Linked DNA regions of Diceros bicornis minor. The protein of the gene in region 1 purifies or fractionates together with the protein of each later gene. This does not show direct contact. Links are inferred from orthologs where the notes say so. Each region holds a gene or a part of one and is shown on either strand. Other genes may lie near its edges.

What was found. Proteins that work in one complex are often made in the same cells at the same time.
Region 2: the proteins of SLC7A1 (region 1) and STX4 purify together in Homo sapiens (co-immunoprecipitation; 3 studies listed by BioGRID and IntAct, counting the BioPlex papers as one, with this or other methods). This does not show direct contact. The link is inferred for Diceros bicornis minor from reciprocal best matches to the Homo sapiens genes SLC7A1 and STX4.

The regions. Positions count from the first base shown.
Region 1 is NC_080748.1:12,664,530-12,674,744, forward strand, and holds the start of SLC7A1 (high affinity cationic amino acid transporter 1), read right to left. Parts: upstream 4,579-10,215; 5' UTR 4,384-4,578; intron 1-4,383. UniProt on the Homo sapiens protein: High-affinity, low capacity permease involved in the transport of the cationic amino acids (arginine, lysine and ornithine) in non-hepatic tissues.
Region 2 is NC_080765.1:20,990,536-21,001,214, reverse strand, and holds the start of STX4 (syntaxin-4), read left to right. Parts: upstream 1-6,579; 5' UTR 6,580-6,803; coding exon 6,804-6,833; intron 6,834-7,021; coding exon 7,022-7,123; intron 7,124-7,213; coding exon of another isoform or gene 7,214-7,235; coding exon 7,236-7,335; intron 7,336-7,471; coding exon 7,472-7,546; intron 7,547-8,348; coding exon 8,349-8,419; intron 8,420-9,873; coding exon 9,874-9,982; intron 9,983-10,055; coding exon 10,056-10,132; intron 10,133-10,368; coding exon 10,369-10,506; intron 10,507-10,679. UniProt on the Homo sapiens protein: Plasma membrane t-SNARE that mediates docking of transport vesicles. Necessary for the translocation of SLC2A4 from intracellular vesicles to the plasma membrane.

The sequences.
Region 1 (10,215 bases):
AAGAAAGCACTACAGCAGGAATATGGAATGCTAAGGAAACAAAACCGCCCGTGCCTTCTGTGCCTCCAGAAAAGGTAGGGGAAAGGTGACAATCCACTCAAGAAAAAGGGGAGAGATGGCATAGAAATAAATGCAGTGCTACTAAGGGAAGGGAAATTCTCCCACCTCCATAAAAACCCACCTCGCCACGGCCTTCAAAGGTTTCCCTGGGCTTGATTTCTGGTTGCCATTATTAGAATAGCAGACTGCTAAGAGAAAGAACTTATTTCATGAAAGAAATCTACATTTATTGATTTAGTACCTTCATTCTTTCAAAGAATACTACAGACTTATGTTTATTAGCTTCATTGTTATGAGGCTGAGAAGGAAAGCTTCCCCGATCTACACACAGAGCAAGGCTACAAGGTTCAGAAAGTCTAAATGACACACAGAGGCAGCAGCCAGGCCAGGACCCCAGAAGCCTAAAGTGGCGCTGTTCCCGGCATTGGTACTACCTGCTCTCAGCTCCTGAAAGCAGCACCCTGCACCTCAGGGCAGATCATCTCAGGCTGCACTGAGCTGCGAAGGCCTCCTCCCTCAGCCACACAGCTCCAACTCCAGTTTCTGCAGATTGTCCACTAAACCACCATCTGGCAGTCCCCACTGCTAATGACAACAACCAGAGGGAAAAAGCCAAATGAAAGCCCCTGGGTGTGGCAGGATGGGTGAACCTTATGCCGGAATCCACTGCAATGTCCAGAAATGTCTTTCCTCGAGCCTGTGCTGCTGGATGAATGAGCCCTGACCAACGGGCAGCGTCAACAGCTTCACCCACAGCTCCGCCAATGCCAAATATCTGAAGGAATGCCTTCCAAGTGAAATGAACACATTTAGTAGGCTACCAAATATTTTACCAATTTGCTGCCCACTCTTCTAGCAGATTCACAGGTGGCAAATGTACTAACCCCCCCATAATAAATTATGATTCACTTTGAACAACTGCAGGGTAGTTATTTTCAAAGCTGCCCTGGAGTTGAGTTAGGGGGTGGGGGTATTACGGAGAAATAGAAAGAGAAGTCCCTAAAGTTTACCACAAGGCTGATAATCTGCATTAAAAAAGCTACCTTTCTAGGGTTCAACTGGAAGAGACCTAAAACCTTGGGGTGGATAGAACCTTGGCCTGGGAACCAATGCCAGTGGTCTACAGCCCTGGAAGGCAGGTGTCCTGAAGGCCCAGGAATGAAAAAGCAGACACACTCCACGGCTTTAGAACCAAGGGGCAAAGGGTCCTCATGGGGGACCCATGGCAACAGGGCAACCCCACAGCCAAGGCGCCACTGGAGGGCGGCAGGGGAGTACAGGGAGGCTGCAGGCACCAAGAGAACCCCAGCAAGGGGTGAAATGGCAAGAAAGCTGGGTGAAAAGGAAGGAGGCCACCACTCTGGGGCAGGTGGCTACAAGACAGTCATGCACCTGGGAAGGGCCCCCAAGAGGGTAGATCTAGTTCAGCCCAGTCGCCTGAAGAGGGAAGTGTCTAAAAAAAGTCAGCTGTGACTTTTAAAAAGTCCTTCCCAACATGCTGTCTCCTCAGCCTTCCCCATCTCACTAATATGGCAACTCCATTCTACTTAAAATCACATTCGACCTCTTTCACACCTCACATGGAACCCAGTGGCCAATCCTATTGGGTCCACCTCTAAAATCTACAGATAGAGCAAGTATATAAACCTACAGACGGAGCAGAATTCGACCACCTCACATTTCTACCATTTCCACCCCAGCCCAAGCTGCCATCATCTCTCACCAAAATTACATATGGTCACTCTCTCTTGTGTAGAAATAACCTGGAGGTGGGTTTTATTCCAGAATTACTTACAAGTCTCTGAACTGGTTGGTCTCCCTGCTTCTATGCCTGCCCCTCTCCCCACCCACCCATCTTTTCTCTATACAGTGTTTCAAGTAATCCTTGAAAACTACCAGACAGCTTTCCATGGTTCCCCACCTCACTCAAAGTAAAAGCAAAATCTTATGCGAGTAAAAGCAAAATCCTATGAGACCTGCCCTCAACTGGAACAGACAGAGGTATAGAGAGCCCCCAGGCCTGAAAAGGTCAATCATACAGAAAAACACTAGGGTCCCATCCACAGGTCCTGCTTGGAGTGAGGACCAAGAGCCAGGTGGAATGATGAACATCTCAGAAGATGCCTCTGGCCCAGAGGAAAATGCTTCCCTCCATAACAAGGCTGCACTTACTCCTGTTTGGAATTCCTTCTTAGGATTAATAAACCAATACTGCCAAATACATAGTTAATAATGAAAAGGGATTAATTCAATTAAACAATGCTGGGCATTGTTTTAATTTTTAATTTTTTTTTGTGAGGAAGATCAGCCCTGAGCTAACATCTGATGCCAATCCTCCTCTTTCTTTGCTGAGGAAGGTTGGCCCTGAGCTAACATCCATGCCCATCTTCCTCCACTTTATATGGGAGGCCCACCACAGCACGGCTTGACAAGTGGTGCGTCAGTGAGCCCCTGGGCCCGAACCTGCGAAGGCACGGCCGCCAAAGCAGAAGACGCGCACTTAACCGCTTGCGCCACCACGCCAACCCCCATAATTAGGTCTTTTTACTGGCCTTAGTAGAAATAAACTACTTGGTAGAAACTAAACTCAGTACACAGAAACTGTCAACAAACATGTATTTAATTCCATCGAAGAATGGAAACTTCTACCAAATATAATTAACACGCGTCCTAGTATTCAAACTCGGGAGGTCAGCAATCTTGTCTTTCAAGCCTTTTTCTCTCTGAAGCAAATAATTATATACATACAAGCACCCACGTGGCTCAAATCCAGATCCAACAACTGAGTACATTTCTGATCTCTATTTAGTCTTATCCTGTTGGTTTAGTCAAAACTCCTTTGACACCTTTTAAATTTTATATATAATGATTAAACATGATCTTAATATGCTAAACCTTTAAAAACTATTTTAATCCATTGTTGACTCTGCCCCCTAAATTTCTATTCTGATTGTGTGACTTAAATAAGACCTTTTGTTTTAATGACAGAAGGGTGTGTTCACAGAAAAATAATAATTTCCACCGAGATCAACTAAAAATATCAGGGGGATATATGTATCACCGTTTCCTTCTATCTGAACCGAACATAAAGGGCAACAAATGTTAAGAGAAATCCTAAGTAAATTATAGGTCAAATGAAATACAATCAGGAAATTCAGACAGAGGCCAACATACACAGTTCTAATGGTCAAATTTTAAAGAGCACATTTTTAGGGAACTACACCTGGTACTGAAATCCCAACCCTCTCCCTTGTAACTAAATCTGGAATAATACCCAACTCCAGGTACTTCCACACACCCGAGCCTGCCTGTGGGTATTAAGAAGTATAGTTCTCTTCCAGAAGGCACATGTCTGCCTATCCTAATCATACAAGTCAAACACAACTCCTAACTGGTTCCCACACCCACTGAAAAGGGGAAGGAACTAAAATAGCACGCTGTGGTAGTACTACAGTGCGAGTGCCGCTCTGTGTACACACAGGTTTTAGAGGGACTGCCAGACCTGCCTGGCCTGGGAAGTTTTCTACTACGCAGAAAGGGACACACTGAGAACAGGTTGTCTTTACTAAGCCGGAAGAACTTCCTCCCGCTCCAAACCATCTGGAAGGCTTGAAGAATCCAGCTTTTACAGGCCAATTCAGGTCACAAGGAAGCCCACCCAGAGGGGACTTCTCCGAAAAAACCCTGGCGATCCCGACAAGAGGTGTGGGCGGGGCGGGGCGCGTCCCGGGGTCTAGGGAAGAGAGTGGGCGCCGTGGGCAGGGTGCGGGGTGCTAGCGTTGTCCCCAGGCCGGCCACCTGCCGCGGGACCACCCTCCCGGCCGCCGGGCGGGCTCCCCACCCGCGGCGGATGACACATCGCGGACTTCGTGGCGGGGCGGGGTGCTCAGCACCGCGCCATGTAAGGGAAGGTCTCCGGATGCCTCCTGGGCCGGCCCCCGTACCCGCTCCCCGCCGCTGTCCACGCCGACCACCCCGTCCGTCCCGGCGCCGGGGTCCCTGGCAGGGCGCGCGGGGTGGGCATCACCGAGGAGCCAGGTCGCCCACGCTTACTCACTCGGTGTTGCATCATGCACCACGCCGCGCCTTCAGGGAACCAAAATGGACTCCGGTGAAGGAGACAGCCACATGGGCACCAGCCCCGCGCGCACACCCCCGGGCCCGCCCTGCCCTCGCCCACCCTGGAGGATGCCAGCGCCCCGGGCGCAGGACCCTCGCCGCTCCCGCGCCGCCCTCCCACGGCCCCACGCAGCGCCGGGGTCCCTTCCAAGGTGACCCAGACGCGGGGAGCTGCCCTGGCGCCGGCGGGGGCCGGGCACTCACCGAGCCGGCGGGCGGCAGGATGCCGGCACGACTGTGGATGGACGGACGCACGCGCGGCTGGACTGACGGACGCTCGGACGCAGGCCCGGCGCGGGGAGCCGCAGTGAGAGTGGGAGCTGCGGTTAGCGGATGCCGGCTGGCCGCGTGCCCCGCCAGGCAGTTGACCGGCCGCTCACACCTGCCCGCGCCGACTGAATGGAGCGTGAGGGCGGGCGGGCCCCGGCGCCGGGTTTCATCAGCCGCGCGGCCCGGGCCTGGCCCGCGAGCCCGCCCCCGGGCCCCAGCCCGCGCTGCGTCACCGCCGACCGCCAATGGAAGCGCGGCGCGGCTGCCCGGCGGGCGCGGGGGCGGGGCGGCGCGTCTTCGCGCGCCCGGGCGCCAACCTGGGATCCCCCCGCAGGCGGGCGGCGCCTCCCGGCGTCTTCGCGGTCGCCCCGCCCGCGTGTTGCCATTTCTCCGCCAATCCGAGCCGGCGGCCGCACCGCGTCCTCTGGTCCCCTGCAGGCCTGGCGGGCCGGGGCTAGTGCCGCGGGCTCGGCCGTGCCAAGCCCCGACCAGCGGGTCTCAGCGAGCTGACACCGAGCTCGCGGCCAGTTTTCCTTTCCAAAAATAAAAGATTTGGGAAGCACTTCAAGGGTTTTTAAAAATTATTATAAATCTTCATTTCTTTATCATTGGAGTATTTTATTGCTATTCCCTTGCTTTTAATAAATAATTTATCCTTGCCCCTTGTCAGGAAGGGCCCTGAAGCCTGAATCTACCTGTGCCCCTTGGCCGTGGGACAAGCATACCTGGCCAACGGGCTCGTCAAAGCGGCTTATTTCCGGAGTTACTCTCCCCGAGATGGCCGAGACTTCAGTACCGAATCCCACAGGGCTCACCTCACAAGCTCCCTCTTTGTTGTCTCTCTTTGCTCCAAAAAAAAAAAAAAAAAACCACAGTCTATGGAGATCCAGTGATGTGTGACATGTGAGAGGCGAGCGGGACATAGATTAATTCTGCCAGTCTCCTCCTAACTTTGTAGAAAACAGACAAAACGACAGTACAGTGTCCATGGTCTTTGAATCCTTTCCACACCTCCTACCCCCACCTGATGTTCTTGGTCAGTAAGGGGCTCGTCGTCAGCCACTGGATGTGATCCTCTCTTTTGGAATTACACTAGCTATTTATAGAGCACATAACTGCATGGTACTGGCTTCAGAAAATGTTTTAATGAACGCATAGAAATGTGCTAATATTTGTGAAGCATTTTGAACAGTGTTTGGCATCATAAGTGACTACCTGTACATTGTTTTAAAACAATAAATTTCAGTTTCAATTGTACAGTGATGAAATGATGCTCTCGAGTTGCATTAAGGAGGTCCCCTGTGTTGGGGCTTTTTCTGAATCCCACACAGTCTCCTTTACCCCCTGACACTGCCTTGAAAGGATGTCCCCCTTCTCACAGAGGGAAGCCTGGTGTGATTCAAGGACCACCCACTTTGTCTCTGCACCAGATCTGAATTTGAATCTGAATTCTCCCACTTCATTCCCTGTGTGGTCTTCTGCAAGCTTTTTCACCTCTATTAACCTTATATTCTTATCAGAAGACTATCCTTTAGTGTTTGAAATATGATTATAGGATTTTTTTTTAAAGAGTCTTGGCAGTAAAATAGAATTTAGTAGATTGTAGAGATGCTCGGCTTGGGGAATGCAGAGAAGGAACACAGAGTTAATATTTGTAAATTCTGAGAGCAAATGTTCCAGGCCCTGATGGGTATACGGGTGGAACTTAACCAAGGAGATTTGTAGCACTGTGCTCAGTTTAGCAATCCCACCCAGCAGGCTTCCTCTTCAGAAAGACAATAGCAGACCCTCAGTGACCAGACCCATAAGCAAGCAGCTTCCCAGCAAAAAGGATTCAGTGTGAACCAGGGAAAAAATCATTATGCTCAAGTTCTCAGCAAAAAGTTTTTAAAAAACTGAAAAAAAAACCTGGCTGAATTTTTTAAGTACAGCTAAACTTCAGGCAGTTAAGATTCCCATTGCAGGTCCAGAGGGACCATGAGTGACAGACAACCTCAGAATCAAAGAGCATTAAGCCAAGATTCCAAAGACTATTAAGGAAAGGAGATGCTAGAATTTTGGCCCTAGAGGGCACCATCTAAGGTTACGGTTGACAGACCAAGTCCCAGCCTAGCATGGGAGTGCAAAAAGTGTAGAGCATCAGAGAGTCAGACAGATGTGGTTTTAAACTCTAACTCGACTTTCTGCCCACTGCTGGCGCAGGGAAATTGTCCTCTCTTAGGCACAGTTTCTTCATCTTCAAAATAAGGGTTTTACTACCTACTGGATAGGAATAACTTTATGGTGAGAATGAAAAATATACATTCAGTAAAGGTGGAAAAAAAGAAAAAGAAAAATATGCATAAAGGTGAAACAAAATAGAGAGCCTAGAATTTTTTGTTGCTAGTGCTGTTGAGGCATTTCCGACTCCTAGTGACCCTGTGTACAGCAGAGCGGAACCCTACCCGGTCTTTTTGTGCCATCCTCTCATCTTCCAGGCTCTATATCAAACAATGTCCCACCACTATTCACAGGGTTTTCATGGCCAGTTTTTTCAGAAGTAGGTGGCCAAGTCCTTCCTCCCAGTCTGTCTTAGTCTGGAAGCTCTGCTGAAACCTGTCACCCTGGGTGACCCTGCTGGTATTAGACATACCAGTGGCATAGCTTTCAGCATCATGACAACACGCAGACACCACAGTATGACAGCTGACAAAGACCAGAAACAGACCCACGCAACACACAGTATGACAACCGACAGACAAAGCCCAGAAATAGAGCCACACAATATAGTCAACTGATTTTTGAGGCAAAGGAAAAAGGCAATACAATGGAGAAAGGACAGTCTCTTCAACAAATGGTGCTGAAACAACTGGACATCCACATGCAAAAAAAATGAATCTAGACACAGACCTTACACCTTTCACAAAAGTTAACTGAAAACGAATCATAGACCTAAATGTAAATGCAAAATGAGAAAAATCCTAGAAGATAACATAGGAGAAAATCTAAGTGATCTTTAGGTTTGGCAATGACTTTTTAGATACATCAAAAATATGATCCACAAAAGAAAAAATTGACAAGTTGGACTTCATTAAAATTTAAAACTTCTGCTGTGCAAAAGACACTATTAAGAGGGGCCGGCCCGGTGGCGCAAGCGGTTAAGTGCGCGCGCTCCGCTGCGGCGGCCCGGGGTTCGCTGGTTCGGATCCCGGGCGCGCACCGACGCACTGCTTGGTAAGCCATGCTGTGGCGGCGTCCCATATAAAGTGGAGGAAGATAGGCACAGATGTTAGCCCAGGGCCGTCTTCCTCAGCAAAAAAAAAAGAGGAGGATTGGCGGATGTTAGCTCAGGGCTGATCTCCTCACAAAAAAAAAAAAAAAAAAAAGACACTATTAAGAGAATGAAAAGATAAGCCTCAGACTAGAAGAAAATCTTTGCAAAACACATGCCTGGTAAAGTACTGGTACCCAAAATACACAAAGAACTTTTTTTTTTCTTTTTGTGAGGAAGATCGGCCCTGAGCTAACATCTGCCAATCCTCCTCTTTTGCTAAGGAAGACTGGCCCTGGGCTAACATCCATGCCCATCTTCCTCCACTTTATATGGGATGCCACCACACCATGGCTTGACAAGCGGTGCGTCGGTGTGCACCCGGGATCCGAACCGGCGAACCCCGGGCTGCCACAGCAGAGCGCACACACTTAACCACTTGCGCCACCAGGCCAACCCCTGCAAAGAACTCTTAAAACTCAACAATAAGAAAACAAACAACCCAACTTTTAAAATGGGCAAAAGACCTGAACAGACACCTCATCAAGGAAGACATATAGATGGCAAATAAGCATATAAAAAGATATTTAACATCATATGTCATTAGGGAATTGCAAATTAAAACAATGAGATACCACTGCACACCCATTGAATAGCTAAAATCCAAAACAGCAACACCACCAAATGCTGTCGAGGATGTGGAGCAACAGGAACTCTTGACTCATTGCTGGTGGAAATGCAAAATGGTACAGTTACTTTGGAAGACAGTTTGGCAATGTCTTACAAAACTAAACATAGTCTTACTGTACAATCCAGCAATTACACTCCTTGGTAGTTACCCAAATGAATTGTGTCCACACAAAAACCTACACATGAACGTTTATAGCAGCTTTAGTCCTGATTGCCAAAATTTGGAAGCAACCAAGATGTCTTTCAATAGGTGAATGGATAAAAAAACTGTGGTACAGGGGCTGGCACCATGGCCTAGTGGTTAAGTTCAGCGGGCTCTGCTTTGACGGCCCAGGTTCAGTTCCCCGGTGTAGACCTACACCACGCCTCGGTGGCCAAGCTGTGGCACCACATACAAAATAGAGGAAGATTGGCAGCAGATGTTAGCTCAGGGCAAATCTTCCTCAGCAAAAAAATAAATAAATAAATACAATAAAATCCCTTAAAAAAAAACAACTACAACTATGGTACACCCAGACAATGAAATAGAGTTTGTCAATAAAAAGAAATGCGCTATTGAGCCATGAAGAGATATGGAGGAACCTTAAATGCATACTAACATTCTATACATACATATGTACATGTATACTATATATAATCAGAATGGAAACAAAAAAATGTTGTCCCTAGAAGGAGTTTTAATTCTTTTGTATACTTACCTCGATATTCTACACTGAAAATTTACAATAAACTCAATAGATGTTATTAAAAATCAGAATTGTAGGGGCCGGCCCAGTGGCGTAGCAGTTAAGTGTGCGCGCTCTGCTTCATCGGCCTGAGGTTTGCAGGTTCGGATCCCGGGCACACACCGATGCACCACTTGTCAAGCCATGCTATGGCGGCATCCCATATAAGGTAGAGGAAGATGGGCACAGATGTTAGCCCAGGGCCAATCTTCCTCGGCAAAAAAAAAAAAAAAAAAGAGGAGGATTGGCATCCGATGTTAGCTCAGGGCTGATCTTTCTCACCCAAAAAAAAAAAAAAAAAAAATCAGAATTGTAGCCAAAAAATAAAATAAAATTCTACCTCCAGCCCCATCCTCCACCAAAAATCTCTGTAGCCAAAGAACACCCATGCCTTCATCCTCAAGTCCCACTGTCTCTTGTGATTTGTCAAGAAAGAAGCTCAGGCCTGGCATGTAACTATTGAGAAGTCTTTTAGGCCATTAGCACCAGGTAACCAACTAACCAGGTTACCAGGGCATGAGCTCTGAAAAGATGATGATGTCCTCTCTTCCCCATGAGCATTCAAAATAAAAATATTAAAATAATATGAGGAAGTCCAACCGTTTCCAATTTTTTTCTGTACTGCCCTGATTCCCTTCAATGCTTTTTTCTTTAATATCACATTTTTTCCAACAAAATCTTTCAGGGCCCGTGTTTAGCTAGAGCCCTACGCACGGGCTTGATTTGCCAGGCCAGCACTCCAGCACTGACTACCCTGAGCCCTGGTCAGAGTCACCGCTGAGAGAGGAATCTTCTTCACTCACCTCCCCGGTTTAACTTTGCTTCAAATTTGAAGGCCAATGGTATATATTTCCTACTGGGTTTCCATAGTGTTTGGAAGTTTTTTGTGCTTCATGAAAAAGTTTTTAACTAATTTTCCGTACCTTTGCTGTCTCCTTTAACACATGAATGCTATATCCATTGATGTTTAAATTTAGGAGAACATTCTGGAATATATAGTGTGTTGTGGACTGAACTGGGTCCCCCTAAAATTCATATGTTGAAGCCTTAACCCCCAGTACCTCAGAATGTGGCTGTATTTGGACATAGGGCCGTTAAAGA
Region 2 (10,679 bases), on another chromosome or scaffold:
GTCCCCCCCAAATTCATATGTTGAAGCCCTAACCCCCAAAGTAATGGTATCAAGAGGTGGGGTCCTTGGGAGGTAACCAGGTTTAGATGAGGTCATGAGGGTGGAGCCCCTGATGGGATTAGTGCCCTTACAAGAAAAGGAAGAGACACCAGAGCTTCCTCTTTCTGCCATGTGAGGACACAGCAAGAAGGCAGCCATCTGCAAGCCAGGAAGAGAGCCCTTACTAAGAACTGTACCCACTGGCACCTTGATCTTGGACTTCCCAGCCTCCAGAACCATGAGAAATAAATATCTGTTGTTTTAGCTTTCCAGTCTATGGTATTTTGTTACAGCAGCCCAAACTGACTGAGGCAGATCTCTTTGCTTAAAAAGTATCCCTTGGGGCCAGCCTAGTGGCGTAGTGGTTAAGTTCATGCGCTCTGCTTTGGTGGCCTGTGGTTCACGGGTTTGGATCCCGGGCGCGGACCTACACACTGTTCATCAAGCCATGCTGTGGTGGCACCCCATATACAAAATAGAGGAAGATGGGTACAGATGTTAGCTCAGGGCTAATCTTCCTCAGCACAAAGAGGAATACTGGCAATGGATGTTAGCTCAGGGCTGATCTTCTTCACCAAAAAAAAAAGTATCCCATTACCATTCTTCCTTTGATATAATTACTTAAAATAGGTAATACTTTCACATGGTTCAAAAATCTAAATAATATAAAAGGTTTACAGTGAAAATTCTTATTCTAACAATTGTACTCACCTTGTTCTCACAAACCACCCATAGGGAACCACTTTTATTAGTTTATGTAACTTTCCAGGATTTCTTTATGAGGATACACACACACACACACACTTTTTTTCTTATACAACAGTAGCGTGATATACTCATTCTACACCTTGATATTTAACTAACAATATATTTTGAAGCATTTTCATATTTATGCATAATGAGCATCTTCATTCTTTTTGACATCTGCATACCTGCTAATGGACAAGTTTCTAATCCATTGCAAACAATATCCAATGAATAACATTGATGTTTGTGTCATTTCATACAGGTGCAGATAAGATGAATTAAAATTCTATTTCTCCACCCTTTGCAGCTCGTATGGACCGTGACTTGCTTTGACTAATAGAATACGGCAGAAGTCATGTTGTGCAACTTCTGAGCAGAGTCTCCAGAGACCTGGCAGCTTCTGCTCTCACCCTCTGGGAACCCTGAGGCCACTATGCTATGACGAAACCCAAGGTGAAATACCACATGGAGAGAGTGGCTTAGCCACCCCAGCCAACCCGGCCATTAGGGTTAAGGTCCCAGGCATGCCAGTGTGAGAGAGGCCACGGTGGGCCATCCAGCTCCAGCCAAGGTGCCAGCTGACTGCTGCCATCTAAGTAATCTAAGGTAAGACCAGCAGAGAAACCACCCGGCCATCCTCAGAATCTGGAGAAACAATGAATCATTGTTATTTTACACCAGTGAGTTTTGAGGTGGTTTCTTATGAAGCAGTAGCTAACTGATACAGCAGGAATACCATTCAGATAGATTTTCAGAAGTGGGATTGCTGGTTCAAAGTGTATATGCATTTATAATTTTGATAAATATTGTCTGGGTTGTATCATTTTGCAGTCTCACCAACAATGGGTGAAAGTCCCTGTTTCCCCACAGTCTTGCCAAAAAAGCGAATCGTCAAATGTAGATTTTTGCTCATGCAGTAAATAAAAAGTGGTATTTCAGTATCGTCTTCATTTTCATTTCTCTTATTGTGCGAAGTTGAACATCTGCATATGTGTTTAGTTCTTATGTATTTTCTTTTTTGTGATCTGTCATGTTCTTTGCCCATTTTTTGTTGAACTGTTGGTCTTTCTTATCAATATGTGGGAGCTCTTTAAATAATAAGGAGATTAGCCCTTTGTATATGATAAGAACTGCAAATATTTTTTCCCAGTTTGCTGTTTATCTTGATTTTGCTTTGATGTTTTTACCATGCAAAATTTTTTCATGTAGACAAATGTATTAATCTTTCATTTTATAGCTTCTGAATTTTGAGTTGCAGTTGGAAAGGCCTTCCTCACTCCGAGACTTATAAAGGATTTTGCCCATATTTTCTTCTAGTATTTTTATGGAGTTTATCCTGACAAATTGTGTGACCCATCACCTTTCGCATGAAGGTCAAGGTCAAGGTTATGGTATGGGTCACCTGGTGTCACCCATGTGGAGAGGAAACAGGAGGAACAAAAGCTGATTTAGGAGATTCTCAGGGGGAGATAATGCATCCTGTTTGGGAGACGTTGAGTTTAAGATGCCTGTGGGACCTCCAGGACAGGGTGTCCAGGAGGCAAATGGATTCAGGGGTCTGGAGCAGAGAAGAAAATTTGGGACTGGAGACATGGAATTGGGAGCCAGCATATGGATGCCAGTTAAAGCCACAAGAGTGTGTGTAGAGTTTGAAGAGGAGAGGTTCTCAGATGGAGCTCTAGGGAGTGATCAAGGTCAGGCCCAAAACACATCACGAGGAGAGAGTTGTGGGGGCTTCATCTCTGTAGCCTTTGGGGCTTGGCACAAAAATAGCCTCAGAGACACTTGTAGGATGAACAGATGCCCTTTACGTGAGACATGCATGGACATCTTTGGCTCCCGGGGACACAGCAAACAGGGCAAGGGAGGAAGACCAACAACCTCTCCAGCAGTCAGCCCCAACCCAGCAGGTGTGGAAGAGAGACCCCGTGACAGGGGAGGGGAGAAGGCTCAGTCTTGCAAAGTCTGCCCCCTCCTTCCCCTAGATGATCCAAAGCAGGGCATCAATAGTTGGCAGCAAGTCCCCAAAGGTGGGTGGAACATGGGAAGCCAGTCCTGGCTAGTGTTTTCCTTGGGTCACAGTATAGTGGTTAAGAAAGAGCATAGACTCTGGACCTCCACTCTCTGGGTTCAAATTCCGGCTCTCTCATTTACTAGTGTGTAACTTTTGGCAAGTTACTTAACATCTCTGTGCCTCAGTTTCCTCCTTTGTAAAATGAGGACAATAATAGTACCAATCTCATAGAATTGATATGAGGGTTAAATGAGTAAATATCTATAACCTGCTTACATTGGTGCATGGCACAGAGTAAATGTTATGTAAGTATTAAACTAAAAAGAAATAATTTCATTCATTCATGAATGTTTATTGACCAGCTACTATGTGCCAGGCACTGTTGTAGGTGCTGGGGACACAGCAGTGAATGATGCAGGTGAAAATCCCTGCCCTCATGGAGCTTAGCTTCTAGCAGGGTGGACAGGACGGGTGAAGATAGACAATATATAAAATAAATAAGCAAAATAGAAGGTGTGTCAGATCCAAGTGAAGACATGAGAGATGTGCAGGACCGCTAGCCTAGGACCTGGTGCACAGTGGGGCTCAGGAGATGGAAAAGGAAAGGAAGAGCCTGGACAGGCAGCAGAGTGGAATCTCTGGCAGAGACACTGGGGCTGCGGACACCCTGGTGGTAAAAATCATCATCATTTCTGTCATATAATAGCATCAAACACTTATATAGCACTTATTCCGTACCAGGCACTGTTCTATTCACTTTACATATATCATCTCATTTAATCCTTACAGCAACCCTATGAGGTTGGTACTGTTACCGTCCTATTTTTCAAATGAGGGAACTGAGGCATGAAGAGGTTAAGTAACTTGTCTTATAGAGTTATATAGTAGTTGAATGAGCTGGGATTCCAACCCAGGTCATCTGGCTCCAGTGTTAATAGGATGGACCTATAGGTGGAGGGGACGGGACAGGCTGCCATGCCTCAGGAACAGGTAGGGCCCAACCTTCAGACAGATTGAAAAGAAAATACACACCGCCACCCCCCCCCAACACCCACACATGCAAAACCCAATATACTTAACACACACTTCAAAGCTGCTCTGAGGGCCTGAGAGGAGTAAAAAAGGACTATGAGACAGAGATAAGGGCTCAGCTCTGGAAAGCTCTATCCCCAGAGCCATTCTCCCTAGATGGCCCCTGCTCCCTGGCCCCTCCACACACCCCTCCATGAGGCTCTCAGCCTGCCCTCCTGTGGCCTTAAGCCACCATCGCAAAGCCCTGCGATCCTACCCAGAGACCACAAATAAAATGAATATCATAGTCCTGGGAAATTTAACAAAGGCACCAAGAACTCCAGATCACAGCTGGGAACCAAGAAGGCAAGTCATCAAAATGCTAAGAAACAGAGAGAGGCAGGTGGGACTCGTAGGCCCAGAGAGAGCTGGAACCCACAGTAGTGAAAGCTCACAGAGGGAGGAACTCTCCACAGTTTACAAGACCCTTCCAAATTCTTCTTAACCTCACTTGATATTGTTCAGTTCTTACCCTAGGCAAGACAGAAATTACCAGACCAAGTTGTCAAATGAAGAAATTAAGTCCCACAGAGGAGCAATGAATTATTCAAGATCACCCCCAGGACTAGGAGTCAGATGTCCAAAGCCCTTCCACTGTACCACTCAGAGTATGAGAGAGACAGACAGAGACAGAGAGAAAGAAGGGAGGAGGGCAGGGAGGCAGAGGCTAACATGGAAGATCCAGGAGCAGAGAAATCCTTCCTCATGATCTCCAGGGGACTCCACGGGGCAGGGTTTGGCCTCCTGAACCCTTCATTCTTTATTCCTCCTGTGGGTTGATCAGGGCAGCACATCCTCATTCCTTCATTCCCAACCCAGGCGAGCTGGATTCTAAAGGGAAGAGGAGAAGGATCAAAGTCTTCACATAGAATCAGACAGCACTTGACAGTTTCCAACCTCATATCACTGAACATTAGAGCAGGGAATACCCATCAAGATTATCTCCCCATCCTCCTACTGCCACCTATTGTGTAGATGGGGGATCAAAGCCCAGAGATAAGTGACTTTCCAGAAGTCCACAGCAACTCAGTCACAGGAATCTAGTTTTCCTTACCAGGGCATACTAGAGAGGGGCTATTCCTTCCCTTGCTTGAATCTTCATATAAGCACCCTGGAAAGAGCCCCGGGGTCCAGAAGACTTGATATCCATTCTGGCTATGCCGAGACTCACTGAGTAGTCTTGGGGACTCTTGCTATAGAATGTAAACTCCAGGGGCTGGCCCCGTGGCTTAGCGGTTAAGTGCATGCGCTCTGCTGCTGGCGGCCTGGGTTTGGATCCCGGGCGCGCACTAACGCACCGCTTCTCCGGCCATGCTGAGGCCGCGTCCCACATACAGCAACTAGAAGGATGTGCAACTATGACATACAACTATCTCCTGGAGCTTTGGGGGGAAAACAAATAAATAAATAAAAATTAAAAAAAAAAAAAAAAAAGAATGTAAGCTCCACAAGGGCAAGGCATTTTTGCCTCTTAGCCCTTGATGTATCTCCGGCCCCTAGAACAGTGTCTGGCCCATAGTAAACGCCCAATAAACATCCACTGAATGAATGAACCTCTAGAGGGCCAGGGTTAGGGGAGTGTCACCGTGAGAGCCTGAAGCCTGAAACAGAAGACTAGGGAACTATGAGCTTTATCTTCAGATGCATGAAAGGCTAAAATTCTGTCCACAAATATTTATTGAGGGCCCATTATGTGCTGGGTACTGAACTAGGTGCTGGCGATTCAGGTAAGAACAAGACAGTCATGCCCTGACCTCAAGAGCTCACAGTCCGCTATAATATGGAATGTGGGCAGAATGTTTTGTGGACTCCAGAGGGTAGACCTAGGTGCAAGGTGGGGGCGGGCGGGGGTGGGAGGGAGGTGTAAGTGGCAGACTGCTCAATATAATACATTTTTCTTAGCTTGAGCTGCCCTGAAATGGTCTCGCTGCTCAGAAGGTGATGAGTGCAGCAGGACTGCAATGTTCAAGCAGGGCGCCAGCCGCCCACCTGTGGGAAGCTGTGCCAGGAGTATGCGGAAAAAGAGATTTCTGCCTTGGGTGAGGTCACTTCCCACCCCCAGATTCTCTGCCTACAAAACCCTGCAATTCTCTGACGCTGGATCTTATTATTTTCTGAATTTCAAGGTCCCATAATGCTGACAGCCCCAAATTCTAAGTCGTCTGCCCACGGCCCTGGGCCCCAAAGAAATAAAGCTGAATTCAGCAAGGGTCCTACCACCCACTGCCTCAACAGGTCTCTGGGGATAGCGCCCCCTCCCCGCCTCGGTGGGCTGGAAGGGCGTAGCTCGGGCGCCGGAGTGCCGCGGACGTCGTGGGGAGAAGGATGTTTCAGATACAGAGTTGACAGAGCCAAGACACGTGACAGTCAAAGGCTCACGTTCTGTGGTCCGCGAGGCTGGGACCCGGTCGATCACGTGACGCAGGGGGGCACTATGGGGTGATGTGAGATGCAGGGCCTCTCACATTACGTACAAATGACGCATTCCCACCCCTTTTGGCAAGCAGATTTCCGTTGAAAGATGCGACAGTTCCGGTCGAGGGGGAGGGTTCTCACGTCCTGGCAGTTTTGCTTCCGTTCGGGGCGCTACAGTTTCCGACCTCTGCCTCTCCCTCGGGCGGGGAAGAGACGCGACCCCGTGCGCATGCCCTGAATCATCCCAGGGGGGCGGGGCCGAGGCCACCGGGGCGGGAGGGGGGAAAGAAAAGGGAATTCCAACCTGTGGAAACTTGGGGGTCCCCGAGGTCGCCTCCTTCCCATTGACTGTGGATGGTGCCAGGGACAGAGCCTCTGGAGGCTCGTGGGAGGTTTTGGGGTCCGCGGGGTGAGGGCGGAGGGGAGTGTCAGAGTGCCAGTGGGGTACCGGAGTTCCAAACTTAGAATCTTGAGGCCCTCGGGGCTCCGGCGCCGGGGAAAGAGAGCTCCGGCCGCCATGCGGGACAGGACCCACGAGCTGAGGCAGGTGAGAAGTCGGGGCAGCAGGGTTGGGGACGGGCGGACGGGGTGGGATCTGGCTGAAATGCAGGACTCCTGGTCTTTGGGGCAGGGAGGGGTGGCTGAGGGCTAGGAAGGAAAGACCCGGAAGCCCGTGAGTTCTGCGGGAAGAGAGCTACAGCAAGGAAGTGATGCCAGTGACCCTGGCCCTGGCAGGGGGATGACAGCTCGGACGATGAGAACAAGGAGCGGGTCGCGCTGGTGGTACACCCGGGCACGGCGCGGTTGGGGAGCCCGGACGATGAGTTCTTCCAGAAGGTAAGAGCCTGGAGTCCCGGCCTGGATTCACGAGGGAACTGGAAGACCTGAGGAGCAGCGCGGTCTGGAGTACCCCCATATCTCCTTCAGCCCTCTCGGTCACCCTCCCCAGGTCCGGACAATTCAGCAGGCTATTGTCAAGCTGGAGAATAAAGTCCGAGTGTTGGAGAAGCAGCAGGTCACCATCCTGGCCACGCCCCTTCCCGAGGAGGGTGAGTGAAACCCCGGGTGCAGAACGCACGCTCAGCCAGAGGGATTGTGGGGATTGCAGTTCCAGGCAGGTGGTGGCCAGGAAGATTTGTTGAGGTATAGGATGCTGTTTGGGAGTCATGGCTTTCTTTTGTTCAGGTATGAAGCAGGACTTGCAGAACCTGCGCGACGAGATCAAACAGCTGGGGAGGGAGATCCGCGCGGAGCTGAAGGGTGAGCTCCTAGGACCTCAGACAGATCCTTCCCTCTGTTCCTGCCCAGCTCCTGGCTTATGGGGAGTGTGTGGCCCAGAGAAGCCAGAGATATATCCAGGTCACACAGCAGGCCTAGATCTAGAATCTCTGTCTCCTGGCTTCCAGTCTACAGTACTTTCTCTCTTTTTTTTTTTTTTTTTGAGGAAGATTGGCCCTGAGCCAACATCTGTTGCCAATCTTCCCCCATTTTTTTTCTTTTTTCTCCTGAAAGCCCCCAGTACATAGTTGTATATCCTAGTTGTAAGTCGTTCTAGTTCTTCTATGTGGGATGCCACCTCAGCATGGCTTGATGAGCTGTGAGTAGGTCCACGCCCAGGATCTGAACTGGTGAAGCCCAGGCCGCCAAAGCAGAATGCACGAACCCAACCGCTGTGCCACTGGGCCGCCCCTCTATAGTACTTTCCATGGCACATGCCTGCCTCTTGAGGCTTTATTTGTAATGAAACCATTTACTCCTACAATTTTTGCTGCCCAGTGTGCATTCCTTGGGCAGGCAGATGGGGGTTTTGTTAGGAGGCCTCTGCGTACCTGTGAGAATTCTCTGATGTATTGCAAAGAAAAATATAACTTTTCTCTTGTCAAAAGTTCAGAATTAGTCATTTTATGATAAATTATATCCCCACCCCCAATCCTATGGAGATAAACACCTCTCTTTTGTATGGCTGGGGTATGGCCCTGGCCTTGTGTCCTGGTCCCTAAATGATTTTCAGAAGCCACAGGTGAAACCCCTCCCCCAGCAATACCCTTGTGTCTTCCCACAGCCATAGAGCCCCAGAAGGAAGAAGGTGATGAGAATTACACCTCGGTCAACACGAGAATGAGAAAAACCCAGGTGGGTTTGTTATTCCCAGAACTAGGTCATTTCAGTGTTTTATAGATCATTAGATGGCAGAAGTAAGAAGGAAGGGCCCTTCCTTCTTATTATCAAGTCCAACCTGATGATTTTCCAGATGGGGAAACTGAGGCTTAGAGAGAGAAAGGACTTACCCAAGTCCAAAACCCAGGTCTCCTCACTCCTAATCCATTCTAACACCCTGCCTTCTCCTCCATTCAATGAGAAGTTGTTGAGTCTCCAGACATGACCTGGGCTTGGCTGTGGGTAGACATGCTTTCTAGGAGCCAAGATGGGGAGTTAAACTTGAATAGGTGACAAAGACATTACTCAGGTAGGACTTGGTAGCTAATGGCTCTGCTCAGGGAAGAAGAGGGAGCAGTCATAAATGACTGGGAGGTTTCCTGCCCATGTGACAGGGACATCCTCTGCCCCATGGGCAGAAGTCAAGAAGTCCAGAAGAGGAACTTCCCTGGGGGAGGGAAGGTCACTGAATCACATCTTAGTAAGGAGATTTGAGGTGATGTGACCAGCCCCCTCTGGATGCCCAGTGAGGAGTGGTTTGGAGTTTATGGAGGTCAGAGTTGGAGTAGGTGGGCCCAGAGTTCAGCACAAGATTGAATATGGAGCAGTTTGGGCATCTTGAAAGGATACAGCTGAAGCCAGGATAGCAGATGTGTCTCTGAGGAAGGTAGTCCAATGAGCACATTTAAGGCAATAGGGGAATGGACAAGGCGAGAAGCCGTTTCAGGGGGAGCCTGTGATGGTCGTCAGTGGTCGTCAGTGTGAGAGGCTGACGGCCCAGGTGGACCTGTAATCTGGGCGGCAGGCTGACCTCCAGGCCCACTAGCACACCTCCCAGCTAAGCAATAAAACGGGTGTTCCGCCAGCATTCAACAGATTTATTGAGTGAGACAATCACCAAAATAAATAAGTAAATTATTTTAGAACAGAGTAAGTATTCAGGAAAAAAGAGCAGGAGAAGAGGGATTGAGAGCGCTGGGAGAAGGCAGGTTGCAATTTCAATAAGGTGAAGAAAACTTCATTTAGAAAGTGACATTGGAACAAAGACTCAAAGGCCTTTGTGGGGCCCGAGCATTCCAGGCCGAAGGAACAGTGAGTGCAAAGGCCTGAGGTGGGGGTGTGCTTTGTTCAGGGAGGAGTAAGGAGCCCACTGTGGTGGAGGGAGGGAGGGAGGCAAGAATGGGAGGAGGTAAGGCCAGAGGGGAAGTGGGGGGAGGGGCAGGTCATGGAGGGCCTTGTAGGCCCTGGGAAGGGCTTTGGGTTTTACTCTGAGAGAAATGCGGGAGCCTTTCAAGGTTATCATAAGGTGGTTAAGGCGGCAGCCCCTATACCGGCTCATGCTGTTTGCTCACTGTAGCCGTGGGGATGCTGAGGCCCAAACCAGGCAGGGATCCTCCCAGGGGTACCTAGCCTGTGTTCTCCATCCGTAGCATGGGATCCTGTCCCAGCAATTCGTGGAGCTCATCAACAAGTGCAACTCGATGCAGTCCGAGTACCGGGAGAAGAATGTGGAGCGGATTCGGAGGCAGCTGAAGATCAGTGAGTTGTGGTGCCCGGCCCACAGGGTCAGGTGACCTGACCCCCGCTCTGAGCCTGGCCTTTTCCTTCACAGCAAATGCTGGAATGGTGTCTGATGAGGAGCTGGAGCACATGCTGGACAGTGGGCAGAGTGAGGTGTTTGTGTCGAATGTGAGTGCCCACAGCCAGCTTCCCTCTCCCAGGCCTCCCATCCTCTCTGATCCCTGGCCCTTTTTGATTGAGGGAATACTAAGGCCCAGGAGGGAACAAATTAGCATGCCTAGAGTTACTCTTCAGGGCCCTGGCCCCAGTTCTAGGCCTGAGGACTGCCCCAGAGCTCAGCAGGTACTTCTTACCTGCTGCTGGTTTCCTGATGACCTGTCCCTCCACTCCTGTCCACTCCCCAGATACTGAAGGACACACAGGTAACTCGACAGGCCCTAAATGAGATCTCGGCCCGGCACAGTGAGATCCAGCAGCTTGAACGCAGTATCCGTGAACTTCATGAGCTCTTCACTCTTGTGGCTGCTGAGGTGGAGACGCAGGTGGGTGCCCTAGGCAGCCGGGTGGGCGTGACCCAGCCCCCAGATGGCAGACCAGGTTCAGTCAGAACCCCAGCCGTGACTGTCAGCCCACCTCCACCCTTAGCCTCTCTCCTGAGGCTTTGGTTCCCTCCAGGCTGGGCCATGCCCCCAGACTGGCCCTTACTTCCACCCTT